Callithrix jacchus: one gene and its partners. The protein of the gene in region 1 purifies or fractionates together with the protein of each later gene. This does not show direct contact. Links are inferred from orthologs where the notes say so. Each region holds a gene or a part of one and is shown in the gene's direction. Other genes may lie near its edges. The genes, in order: CAPN1, CAPNS1 and CAST.

Region 1 (4,042 bases):
CTTGCTGGTGGGTGGGCTGAGAGCTTGGGGGAGAGCGGCAGGGACTTACCCAAGGTCACGCAGCGAGCCCGGTCCCCTCGCGTTTCCCCTGGGGTGGGGGCGGGGAGAGGCGCGGCCCCGCGGGTTGGGTTGCCGTTTGCGGAGTGTCCGGCAGGGGTCTGCTCGCCGCCAGCCCGGCCCCTCCTTGGAGCAGCTGCCGCAGCCCGAGGTAATCTCGGCCTCGCGCCGGGGCTGGCTGGGAGCGGCGGGAACAGCTGCGGCAGCGCGGAGCGAGGGGCGCAGGGGACGGCGTGGGGGACGGGGAGGGCCCGGGGCTGCGGGAGGCGGCGCCGCCGTCTGATCACCGGGGAATGCCCGGCGGGGCTCGCGTGGGGTGTGGCAGCCCGGCCCTGCAACTCGAGCTGCTGCCCCTGGTTAAAAATACCCCCTGCCAGGCCCTCCCCCACCCCCTCCCCGTCCCGCGGCGCCCTTCCGTCCGCGCCCTGGCCCCACCCGCGCTGGCCCCTCCCCGGGGACTGCGCTGCCTTTTACTAATTTGTCCTCTCGCGGAATTGGCCCCCGGCCTGCGGAGGGAGGGGCGGGAAGACACCGTAAGAGATAGTCAGAGACGGTGCCGGAGAGATTAGGGGGAGCCGAGAGGAAGCGGGGTGGGATCCCCGGGAGGAGAAGGAGGAGGAGAAGGAGAGAGGGAGGGCGGAGGGCGGGGAGGAGCCCTCTTCCTGGTTGGGCCCTGCCCTGAGCTGCCACCGGGAAGCCAGCCCTAGGGACCGCAGCGACCCCCAAACAGTACTCCTCCAGGTAAGAAGCTGGGTGCCGAGCCGGGATTCCTTGACCCCGGCCACTGCTCCCGGGCTGAGGGGCTGCCCCAGCTCGGCCCCTTCTCGGGGCCCTCTGCGTGCTTGGGGCAGGGGCGGGGGCTGTCGAGCGGCACAGTTCAGGCGCCAGTCCCAGCCTGGCTCACCGCTGTCCCCAGGGGCTGGGCTGGGTCCCTCTAGCTCTGATAATGGAGCCTGCTGCGAGGGCCTGAGGAGGGGGGACCCCAACTGTGGGGTTTTCAGCCCACGGCAAGGGTCCGGTGCACAAGGAGCGTGGCTAGTTTGGGGAGGGGGTTGCAGGCCTGTGAACAGGATCAAAGAGGCCTGCCCTGCCGTGTCCCACCTGCCCAGTTCCTGTGCTGTCTGGAGGCTCCGCCCTGCCCCATCTGACCTGCTGCTGGCTCACCACAGAGCTGCAAGCCCCTGACAATGGGATCTAGGCAAGGAGAGGTGGTGGCTGGCTCGCCAGGGTACTGGGAAACCCCTTTCCTGGATTCACTGGGAGTACCGAGAGGTGGCTGGAAACCCTGCATTTGTGAGGGGATCAGTAAGGCAGGAAACTCCAGGTCTGGGGATTGATAAGCAGGGGCAGGACAGCCACGCTTGCAGGCAGGAGCCCAGGTTCTAGACTTGGGAAGGCCTGGGTTCTGAGCAGGCCCATCTCTCCCGCAGGATGGCGGAGGAGATCATCACGCCCGTGTACTGCACCGGGGTGTCAGCCCAAGTGCAGAAGCAGCGGGCCAAGGAGCTGGGCCTGGGCCGCCATGAGAATGCCATCAAGTACCTGGGCCAGGATTATGAGCAGCTGCGGGCACGATGCCTGCAGAGTGGGACCCTCTTCCGTGATGAGGCCTTCCCTCCTGTGCCCCAGAGCCTGGGTTTCAAGGAGCTGGGTCCCAATTCCTCCAAGACCTATGGCATCAAGTGGAAGCGGCCCACGGTGAGAGGGGCCATCTGGGGTGGGACTCAGCTGAGCCCAGATCCTGGATGAGGAGTAGGAATGACAGTCCATATCCCTGGTGGGGAATGGGGTCTGGGGTGGCCGGGTGCCAGTTTCTGGGAGGTGCTGGGCCAGGGACAGGACTCTGGCTCTCTCGTAGGAGCTGCTGTCAAACCCCCAGTTCATCGTGGATGGAGCCACCCGCACAGACATCTGCCAGGGAGCACTGGGTAAGCCCCCAGGGGGGGGTGGGGTCCCGGGTGTTTTTTCCACAGTAGTTCCCCATTCCCGCTCCTTCAGGCTCTGCCCCAACTCCTCCCTCCTGCAAGCCCAGGCAGGCTCTGGCTATCAGTGCTGGGCTGGTTTGCCTAGATTCTTTTCTGCAAGCTTAGCGGAGTTAAATGGCACTCTGGCCAAGGAACCCCAGATTCTCCCCAGCATGAGCACCCACTTCCCCCCTGTGGCAGGTGGGTAGAGCAGACTGATATGCGTTCATCCTGCCCCAGGGGACTGCTGGCTCCTGGCGGCCATCGCCTCCCTCACTCTCAACGACAACCTCCTACACCGAGTGGTTCCGCATGGCCAGAGCTTCCAGGATGGCTATGCCGGCATCTTCCATTTCCAGGTGAGCGCCCACCTGGGGAGGGGGGGCAGCAGGCACTAGGGGAGATGTGGACCGGAGTTAGGGCCACACCCTTTGGGGCCAGCCCTCCCTCCAACAGGTATTTGACCTCTCAGTGCCATCTGGGGTCTGTCATGTGTGAAGTAACTGGGCTGGGCAGGTATTTGGGCTGGCAGTTTTCCTTGGTGATGGTATGTATCAGGTGGAAAGTGCTTGAAAGAACAGAAAGACTTTTGTGTTACATTCTGTGGGACAAATTTCGCTCCTCTCCGGGGCCGGTCTCAGTTGCCCCATCTGAGAAAGGAGTGCTCCCTGGGGAAAACATCAGCACGTGTGGCCTTCTGCACCTGTCAAGCCTCCCATCCCCCCATCCCCCAATCCTCCTGCACTTTGGCAAGGTCTGGCTGACCTCAGCAGAAAAGAAAGACTTGGGATTAAGTCTATGGAAACCAGCTTCTTCTGATGGTGTGCCCAGGGCCCATTTTTCAAGTCACACCAATCAATTCTCAATGAGCTGCCATTGGGAGGGACATGCCCAGCAACCCCTGATGAGACCCTCAGGCCTTGGAGGCCCCAGCCCTGCCCGAAGGTGTCCTGGGTGTCCCCTCCTTCTGCCTGGTTAGAGAGCCCCTTATCCTATTCCGTCCTTGCCTGACGTGTGGGTGGAGGTGGCCCTCAGAACCCAAGGTGCAGAACCCACAGTGTGGACCCACTTTGGCCCAGCACCACACCCACCTGCTGTGGTCTGTGGTCTGCTGGGGCGCAGCCTTGCCCCCTTCCCTGCCCCCTTCCCTCGCTCCTCCAGTTCACTTCTCCCTAGTCTCTGATTGGCCAGTTCTGTACCTGCCACCCACCCACTTTGCAACCTGGGTTCCTGCTACCTGGGCTCCCGGCTGCCTCCTCTCCTCCCCTGTTGTCCTGGCCCTGACCCCTCAGATAGTACCTGGAGTCCTTAGTTGCTTCTGACCCCAGATGCCTTGGGCCCTGCCCCTGCCCTAGGAAACCTGCCTCTTGTGGCATCTCTGAAACAAAGCCTGTGATTGCGAGAACTAGTCCTGCTCACCTTGTGGCTGTAGGGTCTGGATGCCACATTTTCACTCCTCATCCAATGACATGGGTGTCCCCTAACCCCCTAGAATAGGGAGGGAAGAGCTAGGAGGCCATGGCCTAAAAGGGAGATAGTTCCAGAAAGCCCAGGCCTGAGAGCTTTCCCACCCTGTTTGTTCAGTGACTCACGAAAGGCTTTGCTGGTGTGCTCTTGTTTAAGTCTTCTTTGAAGAAGGTGCTGCTGCTCCTTTTTATGGATAGGGAAACTGAGGCTCAGAGGTGATACCTTTCCCAGGATCATGTATCTAGTATATCTCGACCATACATGTACATATCAGGTATACACATCTCTAATCTATATGTGGTATGCATGTATTAGTATATAGCATATATGTGTATATCTAGTATATACTATACAGGCAAGGGAAAGCATCTCTTAGCCCTCTGAAGGTTCACTGAAAAATCAACTCCCAAAAGGAGGTTAGTAGGAGAAATGGCATACAAATTGACTAGCCTGCAGGGTGGGGTTGGGAACCACAGAGTGATCACGCCAGCCCAGCAATGGTACAAAGCTTATATACCATCCTGAGGCTACACGAAGAATGGAGGCTCAAACAC
Region 2 (4,215 bases), on another chromosome or scaffold:
TCCAAAAGTGTGGAGATTACAGGCGTGAGCCACCGTGCCCAGTTGTTGCTTAATTTCTTTTGTAAATCAGTAGTATTCCTGCAGATATCATTTAATTTTGATAGGGGCCTAGTGGTATGGAGCAACCCATGTTCCCATTTTACAGATGAGAAAAATCGCTGCTCAAGAACATCAAGTCACTCTTTTGGGGTATGCAGTTATTACAGGCACAGCCAGGATTCAACTCAAGCCTAGCCAGCCTCCAGGATAGGGGCTAAGAGTCAGCCAGCTTGCCTGGGGGCCAGATTTAGCTCCCCGCCAGAGTCCTGAAAAAGTACTAAACACGGTTGTGTGCTATAGCTCACGCCTGTAATCTGAGCACTTTGGGAGGCCAAGGCAAGTGGATCCCCTAAGGTCAGAAATTTGAGATCAGCCTGACCAACGGGGTTTCGCCATGTTGGTCATGATTCGCCATGAATCTCGCTGTCTCCCAGGCTGGAGTGCACATGGCGTGATCTTGGCTCACTGCAACCTGTGCCTCCCCAGTTCAAGCGGTTCTCTTGCTTCAGCCTCCTGAGTAGCTGGGATTACAGGCATGTACCACCACGCCCAGCTAATTTTTTGTATTTTTTTTTTAGTAGAGACCGGGTTTCACTATGTTGGCCAGGATGGTCTCGATCTCTTGACCTCGTGATCCACCCCCATCGGCCTCCCAAAGTGCTGGGATTACAAGCGTGAGCCACTGCACCTGGCCATATTTTTTAAGTAAATAAAGAAACCAGGCCGTGCCCAAAGGAATCTTCCTGTGTCTGGGGGCTTTTGAGACTGGCATACAGAGGATACCCTTTGGGCTGGTCCAGCAAACAACGATTCTGGTGGCCCCTGACTGGGGCGGGGGCGTGGTAAGGAGAGCTTGGAAGGAGGCGCAGGCCCTGCCTGCGGTTTGACTGCCATCCGTGCTGCTGCAGGCACCCGGAAAGGCAGTCCAGCTTAAGTCCTCGCCAAAGACTCGAGCGTACGAGCCAAACCATACTCCAGGCCTCCAGGAGCTGTTTGTCGCGACAAGACCTGGAGAGGGCCGTGCGGAGTTCCTTAGTGAGTGGACCGAAAACCGCCACTCTGGAAGGGTATAGGCAGGCCCTGGGGCGAAAATTCACATTACGACACTGGGAGGGGGCGGGTCCCCTCCGAGTTCTAGTCCGCTGGCGCCTCAACCCAGACTTGAGGGGTGTGGTTCAGACCCCAGCCTACCGAGTCAGAGCGAGTTTAGGACCTCCAGAGCTGGAAACGCGCCGGGAGGAGTCCAGCCAGATTCGCGTTCCGCTAGCCTCGGCGGGTCGGGGAGCGCATGCGCAGTTTCCACTTCGGCTCTAGGACCGCGCGGGCAACTGCGGGGCCGCGGTGCAGAGTCTGACCGGAGAGTTGCGTCCTGAGTCACCGGCCCCGCCCTTCGGAGCCGGACGCAGCGGGAGGCCCGGGAGCGGCAGTGGAACGGACCCCACGGGACCTCCGGACCTGTGCGGTGGTAAGCGCCCGGCCCGTACCCTCTCCCCACCCTGCAATTCCGGCCCTGGCGGTCCCCAGACCCGGCGAGACCGTGAAGTCTCGGCCTCGGGTCCCCAGATCCATGGTCTCATATTCAAACCCCAGACATGTTCGACCCCCTTTTATGCCGTCCCGGGGACCTTTCCCCACCCTCTGTCTCATGATCCAAAATGCAGGCCCATAGATTTCCGAGATACCCCTTGAATTCTTCCTTGGTGCGTTCTGAACCGCAATCGTAGATCTGTGCCCCCAGTTCCAGCGGGGGACCCCATTATCCGGGACCCTAGGGATCACAGCCACGATCTTAGACCCGAGCCCACAGACCCAAAGGTGACACTGGAATCCTGCCGCTGGGAACATCTAAATTCTCAAGCCCGCATTTGGGATTTCCTAAACCCCGCCCTGGGGCCCTTTAGGCCGTGGATGTTTGCTCCGCGCCCATGACCCGCCAGCGACCTCTCCATTCAGTTCCGTCGGGCACGCCTTACACCAACTTGGAGTCCCCACCAAGAGGACCCCCACCAGACCCGCACCCTCCCCTTAACGCGTGCACTCAGCCCAGGCTCCCTCAAGCCCCACGGATGCCTTTTAGACCCCAGGAGGTTGCAAACCTGATTCCCCGTTCCTGCCCCACCCATCCGAGGACAATTCTCCCTCGCAGGCTCAGACCCCCACCGGGGGCCTCAGATTCCTCCTGCTAGTCCAGCTGCCGGAAATGCGTGTTTGAGGGAAGGGTGTGGGCTCAGGACGACGCAACCACTAGTCCCTTTTTTCCCCCAGCAGTGAGTCGCAGCCATGTTCCTGGTTAACTCGTTCTTGAAGGGCGGCGGCGGCAGCGGCGGCGGGGGAGGCGGGGGCCTGGGTGGGGGCCTGGGGAATGTACTTGGAGGCCTGATCAGCGGGGCCGGGGGCGGCGGCGGCGGCGGCGGTGGAGGCGGAGGCGGTGGAGGCGGCGGTGGCGGTGGAACGGCCATGCGCATCCTAGGCGGCGTTATCAGCGCCATCAGGTGAGGTGGGGACTATTGAAGGGGCGGGGCCTGTACGCGGGAGGAGCCTCAGAAGGGGCGGGGCCTGGGGAGGAGCGTAATTTAACTAGACTAGAATAGAATTAACCTGAGGCCGACCTGGGTACCTGAATTAGGCCGGGGTGGCCTGGTTTGGGAGTCCTATAAGAGGGTGGACCCCAGTGAAGGTGATACCAGTCCTTGGGGGCAGGACTTGATATGGGGGTGGTCTGATTGTGTGGATCCAGGACAATGTGGTCCTCAGGGCACTGATCTGGAGTTTTGGGGGCGGGGCTTATGGATCTGGGCCCGGCCTGTATTGGCTACCCTGGAAACGAACGTTAAAGGGGCGGAGCCAATGCGTCTGAGTGACATTTTACGGACGGAGCTTGACTTATGAGTGCGGTGAGAGGTTTTAGGTGGGTTAATGAGGATGTGAGCCCAGGAGAAACCAAGGCCTAATGAGATAGGAGAAATAGCCCAAAATGGGCTGGGCCTGCTGGAAACTGGCTGGATTCATGTAGAAAAATGTCCTGATAGGGGTAGGGCAGGTTTGCCTAATTAGCCATGGCCACTTAACAATGATCCCTTGAAGGGGCGGGGACCTGTGGTTGGATGTTGGGAAGATAGCCATTTAAGAAGAGGGCCATGGAGTAGGGTCTTGGACAGATGGCACCTAAGGAGGATGAGGCCTTGGGAAGCTGGGGCAGAGCCTCTATAAAGTGAGCTCTCCAAGGGGCAGGGTTTGTTGATTCTGTGTGGGATTTTTAGGTCGAGGGTGGCCAAGATGGCTGGAATCTGCCCTTGGGTAGGTATGCCTGGCAGGAGTGGAGCCTCCCAGGGGACTGGTCTCTAGGTTTCCTCGAGGGTAGGGTTGGCCTGATGAAAGGAGAAGGGGGGCAGGACCAGGGCAGGGTGGATTAGGACAGGTGAAGGCAAGAACAGGTAAGGGGCACAGCAACCAAGTAAGGAAGGTGGCCTCGGGGCCAATGGTTCTGCCCCTCTGCCCGTTGGAGGCCCCGCCCCAGGCGCTAACCCCTCCCCCTTATCTCTTCGCAGCGAGGCGGCTGCGCAGTATAACCCGGAGCCCCCGGTAAGCCCCCTCTGCAGCCAGCCAAACTTCTCCCTCCAAGGCCTCTTCGAGGTCCCATCCCTGTACCTGTAGGGAAGCCCCACCTTCCACCACTTCTTGTGACATTCCTCTGCCAGTTCTTCCCGGGCCATGTCCGCAGCTTCGCCATGGGGTTTAGCCATCCCTGACATACACACTCCCCATTCGCTGCCACCCCTCATTCTTTTTCTCATCAAGCCACCCAGCCCACTATGACTTCCCCACCCAGGGTGCCTCAATGTGAGGAGCTGTCCTGGGCGGGTCCCCTACCCCCACCAGCTCTGAGCTCTCCTCCCTCTCTGCAGCCTCCACGCACACATTACTCCAACATTGAGGCCAACGAAAGTGAGGAGGTCCGACAGTTCCGGAGACTCTTTGCCCAGCTGGCTGGAGATGTAAGTAACCTGGGGTCCCTGGCCCCGTGCTAACCCTTCCATCCCTCCCATCCCTTCCCTTGTGGCTGTGTAACAATCCCAATGTTCCCATTCTCCACGACATTTTCAGACCCCTTTCAGTCACCCCTGACCTCCCCCTAACTTCCGCCTGCAGGACATGGAGGTCAGTGCCACAGAACTC
Region 3 (3,516 bases), on another chromosome or scaffold:
AGAACTGCTTGAACCCTGGAGGTGGAGGTCGCAGTGAGCGCGGACCTTGCCATTATACTCTAGCCTAGGCAACAAGAACGAAACTCTGTCTCAAAAAATAAAAATAAATAAAAAGATATGCCATAGACTAGACAAAAATATTTTATAACAGATATAACAAAAGATTTGTTTCTAGAATTTATAAAGAATTAAAAACAAAAACGCAACCCAATGGAAAATTGGGAGAAAACTTGACTGGCCAATAAACGAGTAAATGGAACTCTCTCTAGAAATTAGGAGAATGATATTAAAACATGGAATTAACACTACTTTGCATATATGAGATTAGCAAAAGTGTGAAAGTCTGACAATTCCTGTAGCTTTCCTATAGCTGGTGGGTGTTCATGATGAGTATTCCCTTCAACCAGTAAGTCCACCTCTAGGGAGTTTCCCAGAAAAGAGCCTTGCCCATGTGTGCAAGGAGTTACAAGAAATGGTCAAAAGTTTGGAAACATAAAATTCAGTGATTTATAGTGGTTAAAATGGATTATTCATCTATCAACATGGATACATAATAAAAACATAATTTTGAATAAAAATAATGCAGACTGGTATGTAGAATATTATACCATTTATATAACATTGGAAAATAAGGAAAGTAATGCTGGAAATTGTTTATGGATACCTACGTATGTAGAAATTGTTCTCAAATAACTAAATTGACATGCTAAAGTTCAAGATGGTGACTATTTCTGATTAACAAGGAAAGAGAATTAGGTTTCAGAATGTTAAACAGAAGACATCTACTCTATCTGTGGTTTTGTTTTCTCAGAAATTACAAATCTGATACAGTTGGGTATTGGATTATACAGAAGCTCGTTATCTTATTAACTATTCTTTTGTATCAATTGGAAACATTAGATAATGAAAGCATTTGAAAGCAAAATGTATTTAGCAATCAACTTTAGTATTTTGAATAGTTTCTAGCATTACGTGAGGTAAGCCAATTAAATATGGGTGTTTGTGTAAACTTAGAAATTTAGTTATGTAAAGTATTGGCTTCTTAATGATTTATACTTCCATAAATTAATAATGGAATAGTGTTTTAGTTTCAGAATATGCATATAACATTCTCAGCTAATTAATTACGTATTGTCCCCATGTGTATGATTTTGTTCCAGGATCCAATGAGCTCCACCTACATAGAGGAATTGGGTAAAAGAGAAGTCACAATTCCACCAAAATATAGGGAACTCTTGGCTGTAAGTAAATAACCATTTACTTTTATTTCACTTTCCTTTTTAGAATATAATTTTGTATTAGTATTTTCACAATGTTTAAAAGTTAGAAAATATAATAGTGCATGTGAAATTGTCATTACTATGAAGCTCACTGTATCGATTGGCTGGGGCTGCTGTAACCAAGTACCACAGACCAGGGATATAAACAAGAGATTGATTGTCACACAGTTCTGGAGGCTGGAAGTCTAGAATCAAGGTGTCAGCAGGGCTGGGTCCCTTGAGGGCTGTGAGGGAAAGGTATCTTCAGAGCCTCTGTTTGGCTTATAGATGGGCATCTTCCCTCTGCGTCTCCTCATACCGTCTTCCTTCTGTGTCTCTGTGCGTATCTCTGGGTCCAAATTTCTCCTTTTTATAAGGACATGCATCATCATATTGGAGTAGGGCCCACCCTAATTACTTCACCTTTACTTGGTTATTTCTATAAAAAATAAATCTGAAAATCAGGTCTCGTTCTGAGGTACTGGGGTTAGGACTTCAACATATAAATCTGGAATGAGGGGCACAATTCAGCCCACAACAAGAAATACATTTGGCCAATCTTAAGGATTGAGTCCACCTTCTCAACGTCATCAAATTGATATTTGTTTCAGAAAAAGGAAGGGATCAGAGGGCCTCCTCCAGACTCTTCGGTGAGTTTACATAAATGTCTTCTGATCTAAATTAATATTTTTTATATTTTTGATTAAGGGAACAGGGCTATCAATTCTGTATTTGAGGATTATGACTTAACTCGTCTCCAAATCAAATGGAGTTGCTGTGTGTTCAGAGAAAGGGGTTGGTGTGAGTGTTGTCTCAGTGCTCCTTAGTCTCATAAGTAGGGTTTCTGAGGGGAAGGGGAATGAAAGCAAGAAAGTATTAGGATAGAATGCATGTTCATAATGATAGAATGAGAATACTCTAACATGTAGCTCCTTTAGAAAGGAGGAAGTGGAAAATAATACTTAGCGAGTAGCCACTGTCTTCAGAACATACACTTTGATCTCTGTTGTTGCATTAACACATCTCATTTGGTAGCAAAGGAATCGCAAAAGTGATTCCTTCATTTGCTAGGTTCGCAATCCATTCTTCCCCTTGAGTGGTTTCCATAAGTCACTCATCATTGTGCCTGTTTCTTTAGAAACCCATGGGGCCAGATGATGCTATAGATGCCTTGTCATCCGACTTCACCTGTGGGTCGCCTACAGCTGCTGGAAAGAAAACTGAAAAGGAGGTATTGTTTTTACTGTTGTTAAGGGAAACTTGTTAGAAACTGTTAAACTTTAAAAGAATAGTAACTTTTTAGTTCTGGCTGTTACAGTTAAACTTTCCTCATCTGTCAATCTAATCTTTTGTATTTTATTTTTCAGAAATCTACAGAAGTTTTAAAAGCTCAGTCAGCAGGTATAATCAAAAGTGCTGCTCCACCCCAAGAGAAGAAAAGAAAGGTGGAAAAGGTATAGGCACAGTCTACCTGACAGCAGTTGCTTTCCTGAGCCTGATCTGGCTCATTCAGGATACTGCCAGTAGCACATTACGTGTGATGAGAAGCCATGATCTTTTCCCTCTTGGGTCTGTCTGGAATGCTGAAGCCAATGAGGGTTCTATTGTTCATCTCCAGGCAAGCCTTGTGTGTTTCTTTTTTTTTTGAGATGGAGTTTCGCTCTTGTTACCCAGGCTGGAGTGCAATGGCGCGATCTCAGCTCACCGCAACCTCCACCTCCTGGGTTCAAGCAATTCTCCTGCCTCAGCCTCCTGAGTAGCTGGGATTACAGGCCCGCGCCACCATGCCCAGCTAATTTTTTGTATTTTTAGTAGAGGCGGGGTTTCATCATGTTGACCAAGATGGTCTCGATCTCTTGACCTCATGATCCACCTGCCTTGGCCTCCCAAAGTGCTGGGATTACAGGCTTGAGCCACCGCGCCTGGCCCCTTGTGTGTTTCTACAACTGCTTGCGGATGATTTTAGCACAGTTGTCAAAATGGTCATGATCCAAGACCATCTCACCATGATACAGAGAAGGGCAGAAACCAGAGAAATTGAACTGGCACTCTCGGAACAAGAAACCTTCAAGTTTGATTTTCTTTTTTCTTTTTTTTGAGATGGAATCTCGCTCTATCACCCAGGCAGAGTGCTGCAGTGCAATCTCGGTTCACTGCAACCTCTGCCTCCCGGGTTCAAGCAATTCTTTGCCTCAGCCTTCCAAGTAACTAGGATTACAGGTCCTGCCACCACGCCCGGCTAATTTTTGTATTTTTA

Evidence for each region.
Region 2: the proteins of CAPN1 (region 1) and CAPNS1 purify together in Homo sapiens (co-immunoprecipitation; 4 studies listed by BioGRID and IntAct, counting the BioPlex papers as one, with this or other methods). This does not show direct contact. The link is inferred for Callithrix jacchus from reciprocal best matches to the Homo sapiens genes CAPN1 and CAPNS1.
Region 3: the proteins of CAPN1 (region 1) and CAST purify together in Homo sapiens (co-immunoprecipitation; 4 studies listed by BioGRID and IntAct, counting the BioPlex papers as one, with this or other methods). This does not show direct contact. The link is inferred for Callithrix jacchus from reciprocal best matches to the Homo sapiens genes CAPN1 and CAST.

What each region holds. Positions count from the first base shown.
Region 1 is NC_133511.1:122,258,852-122,262,893, forward strand, and holds the start of CAPN1 (calpain-1 catalytic subunit), read left to right. Parts: upstream 1-1,240; 5' UTR 1,241-1,244; coding exon 1,245-1,285; intron 1,286-1,487; coding exon 1,488-1,755; intron 1,756-1,915; coding exon 1,916-1,985; intron 1,986-2,261; coding exon 2,262-2,380; intron 2,381-4,042. UniProt on the Homo sapiens protein: Calcium-regulated non-lysosomal thiol-protease which catalyzes limited proteolysis of substrates involved in cytoskeletal remodeling and signal transduction. Proteolytically cleaves CTBP1 at 'Asn-375', 'Gly-387' and 'His-409'.
Region 2 is NC_133523.1:32,291,159-32,295,373, forward strand, and holds the start of CAPNS1 (calpain small subunit 1), read left to right. Parts: upstream 1-1,410; 5' UTR 1,411-1,504; intron 1,505-2,304; 5' UTR 2,305-2,319; coding exon 2,320-2,531; intron 2,532-2,885; exon of another isoform or gene 2,886-2,924; coding exon of another isoform or gene 2,925-2,947; intron 2,948-3,587; coding exon 3,588-3,621; intron 3,622-3,944; coding exon 3,945-4,034; intron 4,035-4,188; coding exon 4,189-4,215. UniProt on the Homo sapiens protein: Regulatory subunit of the calcium-regulated non-lysosomal thiol-protease which catalyzes limited proteolysis of substrates involved in cytoskeletal remodeling and signal transduction. Essential for embryonic development.
Region 3 is NC_133503.1:113,870,532-113,874,047, reverse strand, and holds part of CAST (calpastatin), read left to right. Parts: intron 1-1,160; coding exon 1,161-1,241; intron 1,242-1,870; coding exon 1,871-1,909; intron 1,910-2,397; coding exon 2,398-2,490; intron 2,491-2,626; coding exon 2,627-2,713; intron 2,714-3,516.